Xenopus tropicalis: one gene and its partners. The protein of the gene in region 1 purifies or fractionates together with the protein of each later gene. This does not show direct contact. Links are inferred from orthologs where the notes say so. Each region holds a gene or a part of one and is shown in the gene's direction. Other genes may lie near its edges. The genes, in order: snrpb2, snrpd1 and gemin5.

What was found.
Region 2: the proteins of snrpb2 (region 1) and snrpd1 purify together in Homo sapiens (affinity purification with mass spectrometry; 3 studies listed by BioGRID and IntAct, with this or other methods). This does not show direct contact. The link is inferred for Xenopus tropicalis from reciprocal best matches to the Homo sapiens genes SNRPB2 and SNRPD1.
Region 3: the proteins of snrpb2 (region 1) and gemin5 purify together in Homo sapiens (co-immunoprecipitation; 3 studies listed by BioGRID and IntAct, with this or other methods). This does not show direct contact. The link is inferred for Xenopus tropicalis from reciprocal best matches to the Homo sapiens genes SNRPB2 and GEMIN5.

Annotation. Positions count from the first base shown.
Region 1 is NC_030681.2:29,851,184-29,857,661, forward strand, and holds the start of snrpb2 (U2 small nuclear ribonucleoprotein B''), read left to right. Parts: upstream 1-2,428; 5' UTR 2,429-2,467; intron 2,468-2,469; exon of another isoform or gene 2,470-2,719; intron 2,720-4,348; 5' UTR 4,349-4,367; coding exon 4,368-4,431; intron 4,432-5,184; coding exon 5,185-5,357; intron 5,358-6,037; coding exon 6,038-6,178; intron 6,179-6,478. UniProt on the Homo sapiens protein: Involved in pre-mRNA splicing as component of the spliceosome. Associated with sn-RNP U2, where it contributes to the binding of stem loop IV of U2 snRNA.
Region 2 is NC_030682.2:65,064,389-65,070,866, reverse strand, and holds the end of snrpd1 (small nuclear ribonucleoprotein Sm D1), read left to right. Parts: intron 1-1,906; coding exon 1,907-2,098; intron 2,099-4,055; coding exon 4,056-4,132; 3' UTR 4,133-4,751; downstream 4,752-6,478. UniProt on the Homo sapiens protein: Plays a role in pre-mRNA splicing as a core component of the spliceosomal U1, U2, U4 and U5 small nuclear ribonucleoproteins (snRNPs), the building blocks of the spliceosome.
Region 3 is NC_030679.2:17,529,560-17,535,937, reverse strand, and holds part of gemin5 (gem-associated protein 5), read left to right. Parts: intron 1-629; coding exon 630-752; intron 753-2,003; coding exon 2,004-2,099; intron 2,100-2,392; coding exon 2,393-2,530; intron 2,531-2,791; coding exon 2,792-2,939; intron 2,940-3,624; coding exon 3,625-3,744; intron 3,745-4,079; coding exon 4,080-4,290; intron 4,291-4,580; coding exon 4,581-4,841; intron 4,842-5,046; coding exon 5,047-5,209; intron 5,210-6,378. UniProt on the Homo sapiens protein: The SMN complex catalyzes the assembly of small nuclear ribonucleoproteins (snRNPs), the building blocks of the spliceosome, and thereby plays an important role in the splicing of cellular pre-mRNAs.

The DNA of each region.
Region 1 (6,478 bases):
GGACTTTGAATAAAAAAGGGCCTGAATAGAAAGATAAGTAACAAAAATAATAAAATTGTAAGCTTACAAAGCAACAGATTTTAGCTGCCTGGGTCAGTAACCCCTATTTGAAAGCTGGAAAGACTTAGAAGAGCAAGACGAATAATTGGAAAACAATAAAAAATAACTAATGAAGACAAATTGCAAAGCTGCTAGGAATAGGACATTTTGTAACATATTTAAAGATAGCTTGAAAATAAACCACACCTTTACCCACAAATCCTTGCATGTTTGATCATTGATGAAGAGACTTGTGCAGAGCGAGTATTACAGAAGTGTGAGGCATTGCGGGAATAAAGTATTGGCTGGAGGAGATCTGACTCTTGCTGCATTATTTTAGTGGTACAAAATTGTATATGTAGTCAGGATTAGCAATGCAAAATATATATATGTATAGGTATAGATACTGCTTTTAACAGCAACTACATTTACAAATATTGTAACTGAGTTCTCAATGATGGTGCCCCTGGCCACCCTCCTAACCAGTAACAATACCCAATAAACATAGTAATATGCTGCTGAGATGTATAATACAACATTATTGTACCAAGTTCAGGTGGTGCATGGTATTTTCCCCTTCTCAATAACCTGAGTAAGGGAAGGGGGGGGAAGGACACAACAAAATGTTGGGCTTCACCAAGTGTGTGCAAAAACGGTTGTATTAGAGATCTCAGCAGCATGTGGTCTTCTTTATATCATTTATCAGGCAGAAAACCTGCTGTGAGGACCCTGAATCTAGATGACCGCTGTGGGAGATACAAACACATACTGGAGATTGCAGAACTACAAAATGCAATGGGTGTTAAAGTGAAAACTGATTGGGTGTAGTTAAAAAGCGCAAAGGAATTTTAATGTGCAACATTTGTTATCTCTCTATAGGTCAGGCCCTCCAGCCTTTTTTAAATTGCAAAATCTATACTGGCACCCCCAGTGGTGTAAATATATAGGAAGCAGACCCCACAGTTGCAGGGGTGGGTCCAGGAGACAAGGGCCCCAGACCACATGGTCTACTTTCTCTTTAGGTGTAAGGAGATCCCCACTCACTGGCTGCTCTCCTACGTGAGAGTGAGTGGTGGAGAGTGGGGGATGTATGCAGGTGAGTGGGGGATCAGTATGGGGTTAAAGTGTGGACTAGGCCCCTCCAAAGTGCTGTGTAGTTACACTGTATATATTTTTAGAGCTAGAGTAGACTCTAAAATACAGTAGATATTGGTAAAAGAATTGTCACTTGTATTGGGGTCAAAAAAGAACTAAAGCTTAACAAAGATGTGGGGTGCAAATGCTGATAAAAGCCATAATACAATGCTGATAAGTTGTTAAACCAGATTTTTATTACATGAAAGGAATACAGTTTGCTCCAGAATTTAATAATAAACCCTGTAGCATCAGCTTCAATAACAGGAGAACCTTATTTTCTGCTTTCTGATTTCTGACAACCCCTAAGCTTTGCTTCTCAACAGCTGCCCAGAGCCCACTGAGTATGTGCAATGTCACTGACACATCTAACAAAATATTGTGGTTGCATTACGAAAGTCACAAAATTTTCGGATCCGAACGTTCATAAATGGCGTGAAAACCTTTCTGGCTTTGTAACCTTCAATGCATGATTTTGGGAAGCCTTCCATAAGACTCAATGGCACTCTGCAGCTCCAACCTGGCCAAAAGATAGTCACGATACCAAAGGTTGAATGAATCCCGAAATGGTTGTAGTCTTTGCGAAAAATACGAAGTTAGTGCAAATCACAAAAAAGTCGTGGAATGTGAGCGAAATTATTGTGGACATTCCGAAATGTTCTATAGAAAAATGCTATTTTTTTTTCTAAAAAAATGAATGGGCCCCTATATGATAACATGAAATAAGGACTCAAAAAGGCATGGAGTGGATCATTATCATGGGGTTGGTTAACAGCTCTGGTGTGCTTGTTTTGTGCACCTCTTCTCAAGATGTAATATAAAGGACATTTACCCAGCTGCAGTAACCTAGAGAGCAAGCAATACATGTTTGATTTTATACAGGTGAAATGGTGCCATAAGTTACTATAGATGAGGTAAAATTTGTACTATTGTTGCTTCCCAAATGAATTTAAAACAGCCCTGACCCCCACGTATTGCCCTAACGTTCCCTGCCATAATTTAATAATGAATACCGCCGTTCCACTGTATTACACAGGTGCTTAAAATTTTGGCGGAAAGACAAAAACAGTTGTTTATTATATGACACTCTAGTCGCAACCTGGGAATGTACAAAACGTCAAAGAAAATAACTTTATGATCAATTATGCGAAGGCGGTTTTGCCCTTACGAAAGATGGCCGAAGTGACCTCGGAGCCGTGACGTACGTCTCTTTCCTGTTCTAATGCGCGTTTGCTGGAAATCAACGTGCGACGCCAGCTTGGAGCCGTAAGGCGCACGGAAGCGTGTGTGAGCGGTAAGGAAGGAGCTTGTATGGGTGATTGCCGGGCTTGTTTGTCATTGTACGAGGGTTTCTTTTGGTAATAGTTCTATACGTTCCGCTCCTTCGCTTGGTGAGAAGCTGGCAGCGGGTAATGAGCAACAACTTCCCCAGCAGCCACGTCCAACTCCTGCCCGTTCTGTTGCTATTGGAATAAAACGCGCCTGTAGTGCGGGTTTATATGTAGCTGTAACTCGGTTAAGGGGCAACTTCGTGTGGTAATTAATGGTATTGATTGATTTGTAACTGCAATCAGTTTCCATACATTGCAACCAATCAATAGAGCTGTCCCTGATCTGTGTGCGACTGGGGGTCGCCAGTGTATGGCTGGGAAAGAGCTGCACTAAAGCTTATAATTGTGTATTATACACACACTAATATACACAGGGGCAGGCTAGTTTGCCTGTATATTGTTGGGTATGGGAGAAAAGTGCAGTGACTAAATCATAATACTACAGGTATGGGATCCATTATCCAGAAAGTTCTGAATTACGGAAAGGCCATCTCACTTAGACCCCATTATAAGCAAATCATTTTAATTTTATAAAATGATTTCCTTTTTCTCTGTAATAATAAAACAGTACCTTGTACTTGATCCCAACTAAGATATAATTACCCCTTATTGGGGCAGAACAGCCCTATTGGGTTTATTTAATGGTTAAATGATTCCCTTTTCTCTGTAATAATAAAACAGTACCTGTACTTGATCCCAACTAAGATATAATTAATCCTTATTGGAGGCAAAAAATCTTATTGGGTTTATTCAATATTAAAATGACTTTTAACAGAGTTAAGTGATGGAGATCCAAATTACGGAAATATCCCTTATCCAGAAAACCCCAGGTCCCGAGCATTCTGGATAACAGGTCCCATACCTGTACTACTAAATCCAGCAGTTACATGTTTTTAATAATGGGATGTTATTTTGTAGTAGTCTGTATATTTCATATTTATTGAAAAATATGCCGGGCTATGCCTTATAGTCTTATCTGTGTTGCTGAAATTGTAGGCTATAAAAAGAAATTCAATTTAAAAGCATGCATTATACTATTACAGGCATGGGACCCCTGGGCTTTTCCAGATAAGGGGTCTTTATATAATTTGGATCTCCATGCCTTAAGTCTACTAAAAAAATAATTTAGTTGGGAACAAGTACAAGGTACTGTTTTATTACAACAGAGAACAATTTAGTATATTTTCAAATAGTGAATTATTTTAATAAACTGGATAATGGGTTTCCAGATAACAGATCTCATACCTGTACAAGCATGTATTTGGTTTTATGTATAGATTTATGTAGGTTGAATTCAGTTGGAATTTCATGGCACATGTTATATACAATAATAATATTCTGATCTGAAAGTGGGTCTGACAGATGTGGTTCGCAGGCTTGTCTAATGTGCAATATCATGGCGGGTTAGTTTTGGTAATATTACAGTGTGCCTGGCTTTTGAAAATTATTGCTTTACTCTAGGGAAGTGATTCCCAATGAGTGGCTCATAAGCAACATGTTGCTCCCAATGGCCCCAAAGCAGGTGCTTATTTTTGAATTCCTGGCTTGGAGTTTTGGTTGCATAAAAACCAGATGTACTGCCCAACAGAGTCCCTTTAGGCTGCCAGTCCACGTAAGGAATACCAAAGAGGTAATAACAGCCTTTTTTTGGCACCAGAAGGAATTTTTTTTTTTTTTTCATGCTTGTGTTGTTCCCCAGCTCTTTTTACATTTGGATGTGGCTCACTGGTAAAAATGTGTGTGTGGCACAGTAGTCCATCTCCAAGGAGAAAAGAACCTTGAGTAATACTGTACTTTTTTTCTATATCTAAGGTCCTTTTTTTTTTTTTTAACATCTCTTTCAGTATTTAGAATATACAAGCCATGGATATTCGGCCAAATCACACTGTCTACATCAACAACCTCTGTGATAAAGTAAAAAAACCGGGTAAGTGTGAGGAGCGTTTAAATGTTGAATATTATACACTCTCAGTCTACACTCTATACAGTCTTTCCTGGCAGAGTACACTTTACATCTAGACAGCAGCATTGGTATTGCAACTCCTTATGCTGTTATCTGTGAAGGCATTTTTTACTCTCCTATATCCTTTGTATTCCCCTAAATAGTAAAAACTGCAGAGAAATGAAGAAAAACAAACAAACTTAAATATCCTTCAAGCTTTAAAAGTGTAAAACTAACTTAAAAAAAAATCTGCTCAGAAGTCTACTTTTTCCATTTCATATACTACTATTCTTCTGCTATTTATTATGCTTCTTGCCCTAGATATTATTGCTGTTTATTGATCTAGTGCTCACCAGTGCTTAGCATTTGATGGCAGCAAGTAGGTAAAAAGGCCATCAGTAACGATTTCTTATCATTTTAGATGTTTTTTTTTTATTGAGGATGGTGCCTGCCTAGGTGCTTCAGTTAAAATGTGCACCACTGCAATCAGCAAGCAATACGAAAGGAGAGAGTGTCGGCAACATGTGCAATCACGGCCGCACCCAGTCATTTGTATAATCACTAATATGCACAGAAAAGCTTCTTGTGCAGAATATCCCATGGCACTGGTTTTAGTAATAAATGTAATAACTAATACTGATATTCTATTTTCACCTTATCAAAATCCGTGCAAGAGATTTAACCATACATGTTTTTATACTTATACTGTGAAGTTTTTTTTTTTTTTTTTCTTTTCAGAACTAAAGCGATCATTGTATGCGCTATTCTCCCAGTTTGGCCATGTTGTAGACATTGTGGCATTAAAGACCATGAAAATGAGAGGACAAGCGTTTGTAATCTTCAAAGAGCTGAGTTCTGCTACAAATGCTCTGCGGCAGTTGCAGGGTTTCCCTTTTTATAATAAACCAATGGTAAGTTATTCCTCATCCAGGAATTTTTATGATTTACCTCACTCTGTATAGAAAACTTTATATAACTGTTCTAAACTTACTGAAAGATGTATATATATTTTTTTTTATAATTAAGCATAAAACTGTAGTTTAACTAGGGACAAATGAAGGTTTGGATAATAGAAATTGCTCCACTCTGCCAGCCCTTGCACAGTAAACCTGCTCAGAATAACTAATTGAGACAAAATAACAGATATATGGCTCAAATTCCAACCTTCTGGTTCTTTTCTTGGGGTACACAATTAAAGGTTTTATTGCCTGTTGCCATAGGCCAGCCAAAGTCTAGAGTCCCTTGGAATTGTGTGGAGTGGTTGTTGGTAGAAACACCTTAATTTAAATTGATTCCAAATATTTACTGTTAGACTCTGCTGTTTGATTATTAAAGAACTGCAGAAGTGAATTAAATTAGAATTTAGCCCTTAAGCATTTTAGTGACATGTTTATATCTGCTTTAGCTAGAAGTGATCTCAACGCTAATTTAATGTAATAGCAATTTTAAGTTTCCACCAGGAGCGATACCTACAGGTTTTGCACTGTAATAAGCAATGACACTTTTGCCAATGATCCTTGGCGGAAAGTGATTCTCAGAGATTACGTTTCCAGGCTGTTTGCTCTAATAATGCTTTTATTCTTGTTTCTAGCGCATCCAGTATGCAAAGAGCGACTCTGATGTGATACTAAAGATGAAAGGTACATTTGCTGATAAAGAGAAGAAAAAAGAGAAGAAGAAAGCCAAAGCACAAGAACAGGCAGCTAATGCTGCAAATAAAAAGCCTGCTCTGGTAAGATACAAAGTAATGCTTTCTCTGGACTATTTAAGGAAAGGTCAGCAAAATATCTAGAAATTTTTAGGTACAAGAACGCCCCTTTCCTTTTATCTGGGCTTATTTCTGTTGACTGAGTAGGCTGCCAAGGGCTGCATTGTGCTGTAAATGCAGGCTCAGTGAGCCCTCTCTGTAAGCAGCGCACATATAAGGTGTCTTAAGGTGGCCATACACGGACCGATTTTTTACTTACAAACGACCGATTCCCGAACGATCCGATGCTATCGTTAAGTTATCGTATAGTTGGTGGTGTACGAA
Region 2 (6,478 bases), on another chromosome or scaffold:
GAAACAGGGAACTAAGAGAATATTTTTGTTAATCCTATATGCCTCCTTTAAATTTTGTTGGATGCCCTAGTAAAGCACCAATAACTGCAAATAACAGTGATACTAATCTGTGATTACTGTTGTGTTCAGCCATTGGACAACTTCCCAGTTTATGGTACTCAGTGCTAATTTTTAAACCAGGGGCACCTAATCTCCCCAAAATGCCATCCCACCGACTAGAATGTAAATCGCCGATGCAGTGGCATATGCGGCAGGGCGATTTGCCGAAGTTGCAAAGGAACTTCGGCAATTTCTGCGCCATGTATGCCGTCCCACCGGGAATTACATTCTAGCCGGTGGGATGGCATTTCGGGGAGATTTGTCGAGTGGCGACTAATCTCCCCGTCTGCCACAGCCCTTAGTTTACAAAATATTCTGCCCCTGCTTGCAATGCCTATTCACATCTCCAACCTATTCTGTTGTGTTCTTTCATGTTACCACAAATTTGTTTGGACATGGGACAACAACTTGACAGAGACATCTCATCCGGGAGAAAGTCAACAGCTATTTTTAGTTACCAAAATTTTGGTCAAATAGAATGGGCCAGTCTGTTGTGGGCAGGGGGACCTGTCAGATTTTATCATACCATAGGGTACAACCAAATGCAACAAAACCTTTTTCAAAGATGTTCTTTTAATTTGTCATACGTTTACCTTAAAGGGCACCGATCGCGCTAAAATTGCTTCCCCACCAAAGTTGCAGGCTAATAGAGCCCACACTCTGGTTGGGAGATGCAGTAGTTTTTGGGTTTTTTTTAAAGTCTGTCTGCACTAGGCCGCCCCCCACCAGGAGGGAGCTCCCAGTGCGGCGGCCATGTTAATTAAGCATGCATGCGCATTATGCGGGAGACTCCCGCTCACTTATTATGTGCATGCATGTAATGTAGGAGCTGCGGATGCGACTTGCCCACCTACATCACACACATATGCATAAGCAGCGATTTGTGGCACTCACTTGTTATGCACATGTGAGTGCCACAACATGGCTGCCTGAACCAGGACCTTCCTCCCAGTGCTGGCAGCCTAGCACTGTAGGGGGCTATAAAAAAAAAAAAAAAAAAACAATTATTATATAAAGGCTCTGTTAGCCCACGCTAATAATTTTGTCTCAAAATATCAGTCATAAAACAAATTTAGATAAATGGTTTTACTACCCCCTTTTGTTTGCCCCTAAGTCACACACCTACCAATCCGATTTTGCTAGTACTTGGTATCATAAAATTAATCAAAAGGACAAACCTGTACATTTTCAGAGCCCCTGAGCTTTTAAAATTTGCCATCCATTTACCCCAAAATTACAATCCTTCCATCTTACCTTCAGTAATATGGAGTGGCCCAATCCGGTTAATCAAATAGGAGGAGTGTGGTTTTGGGTTAAATTGATTGAATCTCTACATGTATGACCCTAGATTAATATTGTTTTATTATAGTGTCCTCCCGAGTAGTTTAATTAGCTTGTGCCACACAATGGTATCATAGAATTATAGCAAAGGACAAAGCACCTTTGCTATTGTTGCTGAGCATTAGTCTGCCATCCATTTACCCCAACATCATATGCTTGACCCTCTGACCAATAAGATTGTGCAGTTCCATAGTATCTGAGAAGAAACTAAGCATTCATTTTTAAACCTTGAACATAACCCCATACAAAGTGCTGGCAAATACTTTAACAACAAAATGGGCAGAATTGACCCATATGCCAATCCCTTTAGTAAGGTAAAAGTAAATAATGCTCATTATTTAATCCCTGAATTTTAAAGATATTTTTTTTTTTTTAAGACTTTGTTTTATTCTGTCATATGAAGTTGTGTTGTAAACAATGATGACGCCTTGATTTTCATTTTTTTTTACTTTTTTGTTTCTTTTAGGAGTAGATGTGAGCATGAATACGCATTTGAAAGCCGTTAAAATGACAGTGAAGAATAGAGAGCCTGTTCAATTGGAAACATTAAGTATTCGAGGAAATAATATTCGTTACTTCATTCTACCAGACAGTTTGCCTCTTGACACGTTACTTGTTGATGTGGAGCCAAAAGTTAAGTCAAAGAAGAGGGAGGCTGGTAAGTATAGTTTTCATATTTTTTGTTCTATTGTGTATATAAAAAAAAAAAAAGTTGTTATTGGAACACCAAAACCGTTACTGGTGCCAAAACATAACATATTAATTTTGGTTAAAAGGACACACATCTATACAACGGGCAGTTAGGCAGGTTTAATTCGGAGCAAAAGGTTGAACTCTGTGGATATGAGTCACTTTTTCAACCTGAATTATTGTATTACTTTTGTTTAAATAAAACCTGTTAGGTTGCCAGTTTGTCCTGATCCTGTTTCAAAGATGCCCAGAATAGTTTTTTCATCTGAAAACACCAATACACTACTTACAGTGTACAATTCCCACCACCAAGTCAGTAATAAACAAATTAAATAAACGTGGACCCAAAACAGAACCCTGCAGCACCCTGTTAAGAACCCAAGTAGAGAATGCATTAAAAACTACACTTTCTAACGCAGTTGTGTAGCCAGTTTCCTATCCAAACAGACGGTTCCCAAAAGCACCAACTGTCAATCTGGGTCACTTTTTATAAATTAAAGGAGAAGGAAAGGTTAAGTCACTTACCTTTTACCCCGGGCTGGTGCCCCTGTTAGGAGAAAACCGCACCAAGCTGGGGTACCTGCAGCGAGCGCTTCCTTCTGTCGGCAAAATCCCTGGGCTGGCTTTTTTGTTTAAGTTTGGCTTTCCACTCTACTGCGCAAGCGCCAGAAGCAGGAAGGGGAGACGCTCGCAGGTACCCCAGGCTGGTGCGGTCTTCTCCTAACAGGGGCACCAGCCCAGGCTAAAAGGTAAGCAATTTAAAGTCACTTGGGGGTGCCTTACATTTTGGCATCCCCAGGTGACTCAGCCTTTCCTTCTCCTTTAAGCCATGTTGAGCTGCGTGTGATGACTGCAAATTGTATGTAATATTTATTCAGTAAGGTGATCATGTTAGATGGGATTACATAATAGAAACCTCTATCCTGCCAGAGGAACCCAGAATGGTGAACTATGTCAAAGGGCAGCTCAAATCTGTAAATATTAGCTGTACAGCCTGCAGTATGTTGGTATTTATTAATCGGGTTGCATGGGCTTTTTAGGTAAAACTGTAGAAACAATAGTAGGATTGCCTGTGTGGAGATGGCCTCTAAACATTAAAACAAACTTGTAATTCCGTTGATTAACAATGGCTAGAATGTGATTGTTAGTTGTGAAATGCAGTGCTAAGGGTACTGGCACACAGAAATTTGTTGCCTGTAGTAAATCTGCGTTACCACAGCAACAAATCCCCTGAAATTGCCTTCTCATTCATTTACTTTTGCATCATTGCAAGTAAAACACTCACAAGTGGTTTCCACATGTCGGCTGTTGGGGCATTTGTGTGTCAGGCTCCACTCATTCCCCTTCCTCTGTTCATTGCATAGGGGTGGGAGACAGGAACGAAGAGATTAGGCTGTCTTTAAAAGCCAGTCCAAAGTATCTTAAGGTGTTAAAGGCAGAGCATTTTATCAACTATTTTTACATTTTAAATAATGTTTTGAAGTAGTTAGCATTGCTTCATCCCATAATATATCATCCACTGCTTTTAATGCAGTAAGCATAAATATAGAAGTATTAATTTCCAACAGTAAGAGCTAGGAAGGTGTTTGATGTACTCCCTGAAGTGGTTAGATTGGTATATTCATTAGATACAATGGCATACAAAACTGCATTAGGCAGAAGTAGTGTTTCAGTGTGCAGGTAGTGTGTGTACATTATGGGATTTGCTATGAAGGTATATTTCCTTTATATCTACTTCATTATTTTATATGGTTGGAACTATTTTGCAAAACAATATAATGCCATAATATACATCCGAAATTCGAAGATCTGTTGGAAACTGTTACTTGATATTTCTGTTTTAGCAAATGTATGTATGTGTTTTGTTTTTTTTTTTTGTTTGTTTTTACTTTACTGATCCTCACCTGATTTCTGTTTCTAAACAGTTGCTGGCAGAGGAAGAGGGAGAGGCCGTGGTAGAGGCCGAGGGCGAGGAAGAGGTAGAGGAGGCCCAAGAAGATAATATATGTGAAAACTTCGCCATTAGAGGATGTTTTTGTACAGTTTTTTTTTTTCATACCTGAATGCACACAAATACTACTTCATGATATTACTTGTACACTGTACTAGTTAACTACTTATTGAGGCATATTTACTAATGCTGGGTGCTTTAGCTTGGTACAGTAACCATATAGAATACATTTTGATCTACTGGATGTAGAAAATACATTTTAATTGGTTACTGTTGGTTACTGCACTGGTGCTTAGTGTTAGTAAATGATTCCTGTTATGTACACTGCATCCCTGCCACACATTTGTATATGACCAGCATTAGTGTTATAGGAATCCTTGTGATGTTATATTCTTCACTGTTCCTTTACATTAGTAACAGTCCATTCAGTGCATTGGACAGGTGCCAGTAACAACTTTCTTCTTGCATTCCCTTCAATGCTTTGGTCAAATACAAATATTTTTCAGGTTGCTATTTAAATTCACAAATCGGTTAAAATCTGGGTTCTGCAACTAGGTAATTGATATTGAATATTGGCATTCAGTTCTTTTTGTAACAAAGTTGGTTGTGTCTTTGTTTTTAATGCATATAAGTTGCATTTGAAAGCCTAATAAAAAAAAAAGGTTTTTCATAGATGTTTGATTTTTTTTTTATCCCAAGATGTTAAAACATGTTGGAGCATGTTTTTTTTTGTTCTTTTTAATTGTATGTTAAAGAATACTTAGTGCTTGTTGGGCAGTTCTGTGTGTATTTAAGCTGGCAGACCCAAGCTTGAAGCCGTCCGTGCTGCTCTTATCCAAAAATATGTGGTAGAAAATGTTAATAACAACCTGTACTACATGGCCAGGTAGTTTCCATTAGGACAATTACACACAGTGTAATTTGTCTGGCTGCTGTCAGCAGCAACTAAAGCCTTATTACCAATCCTGATACTATTGTGCCAAGTTAAAGTCAGGAATGATGTAAAGCCACTGCCCCTACCACAAGAAGCTTTTTATTTTCTGTCCCATAGTTCAGGCAGTGCTCAGGTTTTCATCTTAGGTTACATGCCGAACATGGATTTAAGTGTTGTTTCCCCTTCTTGGTTGCCAGGAATGCAACTTCCTATCTAACAGATGCTTTTGATCAGAAATACGTGTATGTGGCCCCACATGTTTAAATTCCTTTCTCTCCTGGTAAGCCCTGCACTTATACCTGTTCTTGTTCTGTCATTAGCAGCTTTTTGATGTTCATTACTTTCAGCTAACTCTGCTTCTGATAGTCCTACCCCAGACAAAGCTAAACCTGATTATACAGCCCAAATGCTAAGAAGGAATTTAAAAAGCCCATTGCAATTTGTGCCAAGTCCCAGTGTGGGTTGGTCAAATTCAGAGTGGTATTTCTAGAGTAACAATTCTTTCTCTGGCAGTATATTTCATCAGTGAAGCCTCTATTGCATAAATGGGAATTGTTAGCCATAACTGCAGCTTTTCTACATTAGCCCATAGGGCAAGTTGGTTAAGCCACTGGGCTGGAGATGATGCCTCTAAAACAGTTTGTTAAATAAATTTGCTATTTGAAGAGGAAAAGCTTTTTGGCTCTGAGCGGGGTTCTTGGACATGGATATGGTTCATTTTTAGAATGTAGTATATTCAACATAAAAAAATCTCTCAAAAGACTCTAAACAGCCCTCAAAATAACATACCTCTCACCCTACTTTCTGATGCATTCTAACACAGAAGTTGAAAATGGCAGCTCAAATCAGTAATCTAGTGCAAAGTCCTGTCCCATTTAGTAAACTGAGTTTTCCTTATTGTTTCAATAGGAAGCATGGAGAAAGTGACCAGCAAATAAACCTCTGTACCACCCTCTGGTATATTAATCATAGGCCTAAGCTCGGATATACTGTGCGAAACGCGCGTCAGGCGCACACTTTTAGTTTTGGGCAGAAAGGTGTTTGATGCACCGTGGGTGTTGATGGGTGCGGGCTGTAGATGTCGCTATAGGTGGGCTGGATAGCTAACTAGGCAGACCCATTTCGCTATTGTTACTCCACACCTGCTCCTCCTTTCCCTGTCTAATCCCTATCTGTCCAGCACAGAACACTGTGGCAGACACACTTAAAGTGGACCTGTCACCCAGACATAAAAAACTGTATAATAAAAGAACTTTCTTAAGTTAAACAAGAAACCCAAATTCATTTCTCTATTAACATTTCCAAACCCATTATAAAGGCATTTAAAAATCCCAGCTGTCAATCATAGAGGCATAGAGGTGGGGCAGACAAGTACTTTAACTTCCAATTTAGCTCTTACTTTACCCCTCCCTACTGACCTTCTAATTGTGTAACCAGTGCATGGGCCTGGGCATCAGGTCCCC
Region 3 (6,378 bases), on another chromosome or scaffold:
AGTAATTGCTTATGCGCAGCATGAATAATTTAAGTGAATGGTTAGTATTTGGATGAATAGTAATGTCTTTCCAAATAGCCAACAGGGCAGAGTTTCTTAAACTAGGGGTCCCCATGCAGTTTAAGGTAACTCAACATGATCCAGAGCTGCTTCAAGTTCTTGATGGCAGGAAAGCAGTGTGCAAGTTTGTTTCAAAATTAGGTTAGCTTTAGTGAGAAGCAAAAGCACAAAACAACCCTGCACACTGCTGCCCTGCCATTTCAAACTCCGAGCAGGGCTGATCATTTTAGTGTTGTCCATCCAGTGGCCTCATAAGATTTGTGCGCTCAGTAATCAGAGCTAGCAAAGACGCAATGGATCGTATTTTTTTATAAAAAAAAAAAAGTACAGTTTTTGTCATGGATGTAAATTATAATTAGGTTTCTTTTTGGGACTGGGCAGGCTATTCGTTTTTGACTTTACATCCTCTTTAAAACATGGTGCATAACTGGTAATTAAAATAGTTGAAGTTTACAAATATCCCTGCCTGAATGGTGACAGTGATGAGCTGCATAGTGGAAGACACTAAATTAGGTTGCCTTATCCCTAAATACTTGCTGTGACTGTATTATACCGTGTTCCTGTTGCAGATCTGCAAATCAGGAAGAAGAAGAGTCGATCGTTGCTTCCCATCAGCACCAGCAAAGATCACCGATCTAAAGAAGAGCAACACCGAGACTGTGTTAAGTTGGCAACTGTTGTATGTGCGAAGGGTAATTTTTCCATTTCTGGCTTTTGGCACTGTACCTTTAAGAACACAATAACATTATCTTATCTGGTTGTCTGTAATATTCAGAACTGGAAATTATCAGTAGCAACATACACTGCTCATTAATGTTGCCAGCAGGATGTAGTGTCCCTTTGCTTGAAGCTACCTGGCAAACAGGTAGATTTCAAGCATATTCACAAAACACCCAAAACTGCCCCCATTCCATGTGAATGGGAATCACCACCAAGTACCCAGCGCAGTCCCAGCCATCTGCCCCATGCTTAAAGGGGTTGTTCAGCTTTGAGTTAACATTTAGTAAAATTCTGAGACAATTTCCAATTGGCCTTCATTTTTTATTATTTGAGGTTTTTTATAATGATTTTACTTTTTGCTTGGCAGCTCTCCAATTTGAATTTTCAGCAGCTATCTGGTTGCTAGGGTCCAAATTACCTTAGCAAACAGGGAGTTGTTTTAATGAGAGACTGGAATATGAATAGGTGAGGGTCTCATTTGAAAGATAAGTAATAAAAAAGAACAATAAAATTGTGGCTTCACAGAGGAAGAAGCCAAATAATTGAAAAACTATAACAAATGAGTAATGAAGACCGTTTTGAAATGCTGAAGAGCCAGTTGGTAGATATGTAGGGCTATCTTTGCAATATCACCTTTGCACCTGGTGGAAATTTCTCTGGTTAAATATGTTATATTTTAGAGAGATGTTATATACTGAATCCTCCACAAAATAGTTGGTCTTTTATCCAATGTGGTGCATTCCTAGATTATTTCACCTTTAAAACTCTTGGTGTCCACCATTTTTCATATTCTATTAGCTATAGGCACTCATTTGTTGAATGGAAAAAGAGATTGGAGAAGTAGAGGGGGGGTGGTGCATGGAGGAAGCAGGTTGGGATTTGAGTTTGGAAAAGGAAGAGGAGAGGGCACGGGATAAGTAAAGTACACAGAATTGGGGAATGAGCATGAAGGAGGTAGAGAGGCCCGAAGATTGGAGAGGAAGTGTTGAGGTCATATTATAATGAAGAACCACTCTTTACAAAGGTGTCGGATTCCCCAGGGTTGTGTCCATCACCAATAAAGTTGTTGTAGAATGAGTATTTAAACCCTATTGGTGTGTGACACAACCTGAATGGAGCCTAAATAATCCTTAACCATAGCATTTGCATGACATTTTTTGATCCATTGTACATCCAACTTCTGTTGTTGTCCATAACGTGAACCCCTCTATCTTCCTTCACAGATTTGGAAGAGAAATCTCATTTTCACTCGGAGGACACAATGCACCTGGGACTATACAGTGACCGAGCAGCCCTTTATCACCTTATGGAGGAGGAGGGTTTGTTCAATTTTCATATCTTACACCGCTGCACCCTTACTTATATATAAGCAAATGGGTCATATTGCTGTGGACAGTCCTGGACTACATAACTGGTCCAGTTACTATCAATATCAGATGGCAGCAACCAGCAAACCAAATACAAAGTATAAGGGATAAAGTGCTGCCTGTTATAAAATAAGAAGTGAGTAAGGAATTCATAAATGTGTTAGGGCACAAGGCTATAGGTGCTTGCAGTGTTTTGCTTTATTCCTGTTTCTTGCACTGATTATGGCTTCCTGTTTGGTTTGCAGGTAAGGCTCATCTGGAGAATGGGCACCCTGAGCTCCAGCATCAAATTATGCTTTGGAAAGGGGATCTGAAGGGGACTTTGCAACTGGCTGCAGAGAGGGGTGAACTGACTGATCAGCTGGTGGCGCTGTCTCCCGTAGGTGAGTGAAGGACCTCATATACAAACAGCAGAGAACAAGATGCTATAAAACAGAGCATTCCAACATTTCCTCTTGGTGCCTGTAGTGTTGCTGTCAAGAATCTAGGGGCCTGTGTTTTCCAAACCTTGCCCCAGATCCAAAAAGAACTGTTTACTGCTTCCTTTCCTAGTGGTGGTCCTGGGGGTATGCAGTTGTGGAATAGATGCCTGACTTAACTCTGATGCCCTTATGTAAAAATTGTCCTCTCCTCTCCCTCTTTAGCCGGATACAAGGTCTGGCTATGGACCGTTGAAGCCTTTGTGAAACAGCTGTGCTTTCATGAGCAGTACGTGAAAGCCGCTTCCCACCTGCTGTCCATTAATAAAGTGTATGAAGCCGTGGAACTGCTCAAGGGGAACCACCTCTACAGGTCTGAACATCAGTGTCAGGGAAAGACAAAAGTACATGTCCCAGCATGCTCACTCAGTATGGTTTGGAGGTTAGCGGGCAGCATTGGAAAACAAGCACGAGTAATTGTTACATGGGGAAGTGTTACTGTTACTTACCTTATGAGTGGCCATTAAATTACTAGTCTGCCTAATAAGTTGGACAATAAGTCAGGCCCTCAGAACATGGTCTAGGCATCTTCTAAATAATAATTAAACCAGCCAGGCTGCTTCAGATCTTTACATAGTAGCTCATGTTGAAAAAAAGTCAAAATTTAACCTTATGGTTTAAAGCTAATGCTTTATTTCCTGATAGCCAGCATGTCTTTATCTGTCCTTTATTTTATCACAAACAACCTGTTTCATGTAAAAGCCCATATGTAAGGATCCCACACCTTGTGTCTCAACCCTTTCTACTTGTAGATTGTAAGCTCTTTTGGGCAGGGCTCTCTTCACCTCTTGTATCGGTTATTGATTGCTTTATATGTTACTCTGTATGTCCAATGTATGAAACCCACTTATTGTACAGCGCTGCAGAATATGTTGGCGCTTTATAAATGTTAATAATAATAATGGGGGATGTCACATTATTATGGGCACACATGTTTTGTGCAGATAATTAACTTGCAAGGTGTTAGCTGCCTCACCATATTGTGGTTTAAATTTTAGAGAAGCCATTGCAGTGGCGAAGGCTCGGCTACTCCCCGATGATTCAGTCCTGCGGGAGCTGTACACTAGCTGGGCAGCAGTCCTTGAGCAGGACGGGCACTATTCCATGGCTGCTAAGTGGTAAGTGTGGGAAAGCATTGCAGAAAGTTCTGGTTAAGGCTAAACCACACAGGTTATTCATTCTGCCACCATAACCCTATTTCATGGTGTTAGCCCTTGTTAGGAGCTAGCCACAGCTGCGCACATTCCATTGCTGGGGCAGAGCCCCACAGAGAGGTATGTCAGTGTATTGCAGTGTTTTAGCACTAATGTAATGATGTCTATCAAGTAGAACGCTACGTGCAGCATTTCCCAGAGGGTGTCGTCTGTGACCCTAATCCTCTTGCCAGCCATTGGATCGGTTGGTGGAAAAGTGCAGTGATTTGTTTGTATTTTTAAAATGTGTTTTATTCCAGTTATTTAGGGTCCTCCTCTCCCTATGATGCTGCCAAGGTTCTAGCTAAGAAGGGGGATTTGCTATCCCTGAGCGCTGCTGCTGAACTTGCATTAGTTGCAGGAGAAAAAGACCTTGCTGCTTCTTTTGCCATCCGCTGCGCCCAGGAACTGTTCACTGCAAAGAATTTTTTAGCAGCCCAGGAAGCACTACGACAGCACAACAGTCTGCTGGTAAGAAATCCATGCACAAAGGATAGACAAGCTGTATCTTACTCATGTGACCTATAGAGCTTATAACGTCTCTCCATGGTTTATATTAGTGTTGCACCGAATCGAAAATCAAATGGTTGGACTCATTGGAATCCTGAATCAATTTTTGTATTTTGTGCATTGCAAATTTGCAGTTATACATAAACAAACATATGTTGCCATATTTGTTTACTTTATCTCATACTAATCCCTTGTCTTCATTTGCATGCCTAGCAGAAATGTATTTCCCATGCATAGTTTATCCTTCCCAGGGGCAGAGACTGCTGTTTTGTACCAGTGAGCTGCTGTACATGCATTTGAAGGAGAAGATGCCCATAGATTGGAAGACACAAAGCAATCCATGTTTCCATGAACAGACAGGCAGTAGTAATGGGGAACCTTTTATGACCAAGCTTACAAGTCTATGGCAGAGTTTGTGTGAAGTAAACAGCCCAGAGCAATACAAAGATGCCTTGCAACAACTGTCTGCCTCAGAGATTCCACAGACCACTGTCAATACTGGCCCTAAACAGGTAACCCAGTCTTTTTTTTGTAGATATAGAAATTTGCTGTCAGTGGTAAATGGAATGTCCACCCAATAAGAATTAAGAAAGAACTGGTCTAACAAAGATAGTTGCAAATTGTGCCTTTAAAATTATAATGGTATTGTTATTATTATTATATATGATTGTGTATATATGTTTTACTTCCTGTGTTTTACTGTTCTCAAACCCACAGCTGCTGCTGCACCTTTCCCATGAGGTCACAATATTGTCTCTGAATTGTCAGCTTAAAAACTGGAAAGAGGCTGTTCCATCTCTCCTCCATATCCTGTTCCGCTGTCAGCAGGCAGGCCATTTCACCCTGATGCAAGGGATAGCCAGCCTGCTGCTTCCTAACGGTGAGTATAGAAATGCATTGTAAGATAGGCTTGTATTACTTGCTGCTACCAATAGTGACCACTTTTCATTGGATGTGAGCATTGGGTTTAAATGTACATGTGTATATTTCCCCTTGTTATTTTAGTTATTTCAAGGAATAGGGAGAAGTGTTTTGAGAAAAGAAGCATGTAGCACCTAGGCACCCCTCTACCTGACCCATAACTTGTGTTTCATTCACATATGCAAGGTGCAGCCCACATAGGGGTGCTGTCTTTACTCACTCTCCCAGAACGTGAAAAGGGAAGGGCCTGTCATACATTAAATACTGGGTCTTTGCTAAAGGGGATGTTCACCTTCAGACAATAGTACGAATTTGAAAAGCCCCTGTCATAAAAAAAACATCCTTATTATTTTAAAAGTTTTGAAGCTACAGACCATATAAGCTGTGGCTCAGCATTGCTAAAACTATGTTTGCTCTGCTCTTTGCTCTATCTTCGGAAGGGGTCGCCCGCACCACACTTGCAAGCTGCCCAAACAGGAAGCACACACTGAACTGGTTACTGTGCATGCCTTCCCTCTCCTGCTTCATTTGCATTTGATTGGTTAAATCTTGCCTGCCAATGGTATCAAAGATATTCAAATGAAAGGCATGTGCATAAATTCTGATACATAATTTAGTACAGGTCCAGACCATGTGCGAAAAGAGTGCATGGGGTTGGTGGCACCTGGGGCATTCATTGGGGGTATGTTGGGGATATTCTGTGGAGTCGGTATGGCGTAGCTTCCTATATTTCTAGTGCATCTATATCTTTTTCTGATGTATTGCTGTCTATTCTTACCAAGTGTGGCAGTTGAATTTATCCAGATTCTCAATAAGTTGCTGTGGTGAATATGTAACCACAGTTTGAACCTCAATAAGTTTCTGACTGCACAGCGAGTGTGGGAGCCGCTATGCGAGTGTTGCATGTATCCAAGTGTTGCATGTCAATTAAGTGTTTAGCAGGCGTTAAAAACAAAAAGACATTTAAAACTTAAAAGGCACTATACAAGGGATTGCACTCAGGAGACTGTAAGTACCCAGTGGCAATATGAGTTGCAGTATGATTGCTGGTGTTACTCAGTGTGCATCTTGTCGCATGTATGTGGTCCTGGAGCAGCAGTTCCATGCAGCATTTACTTGTGAGAGATG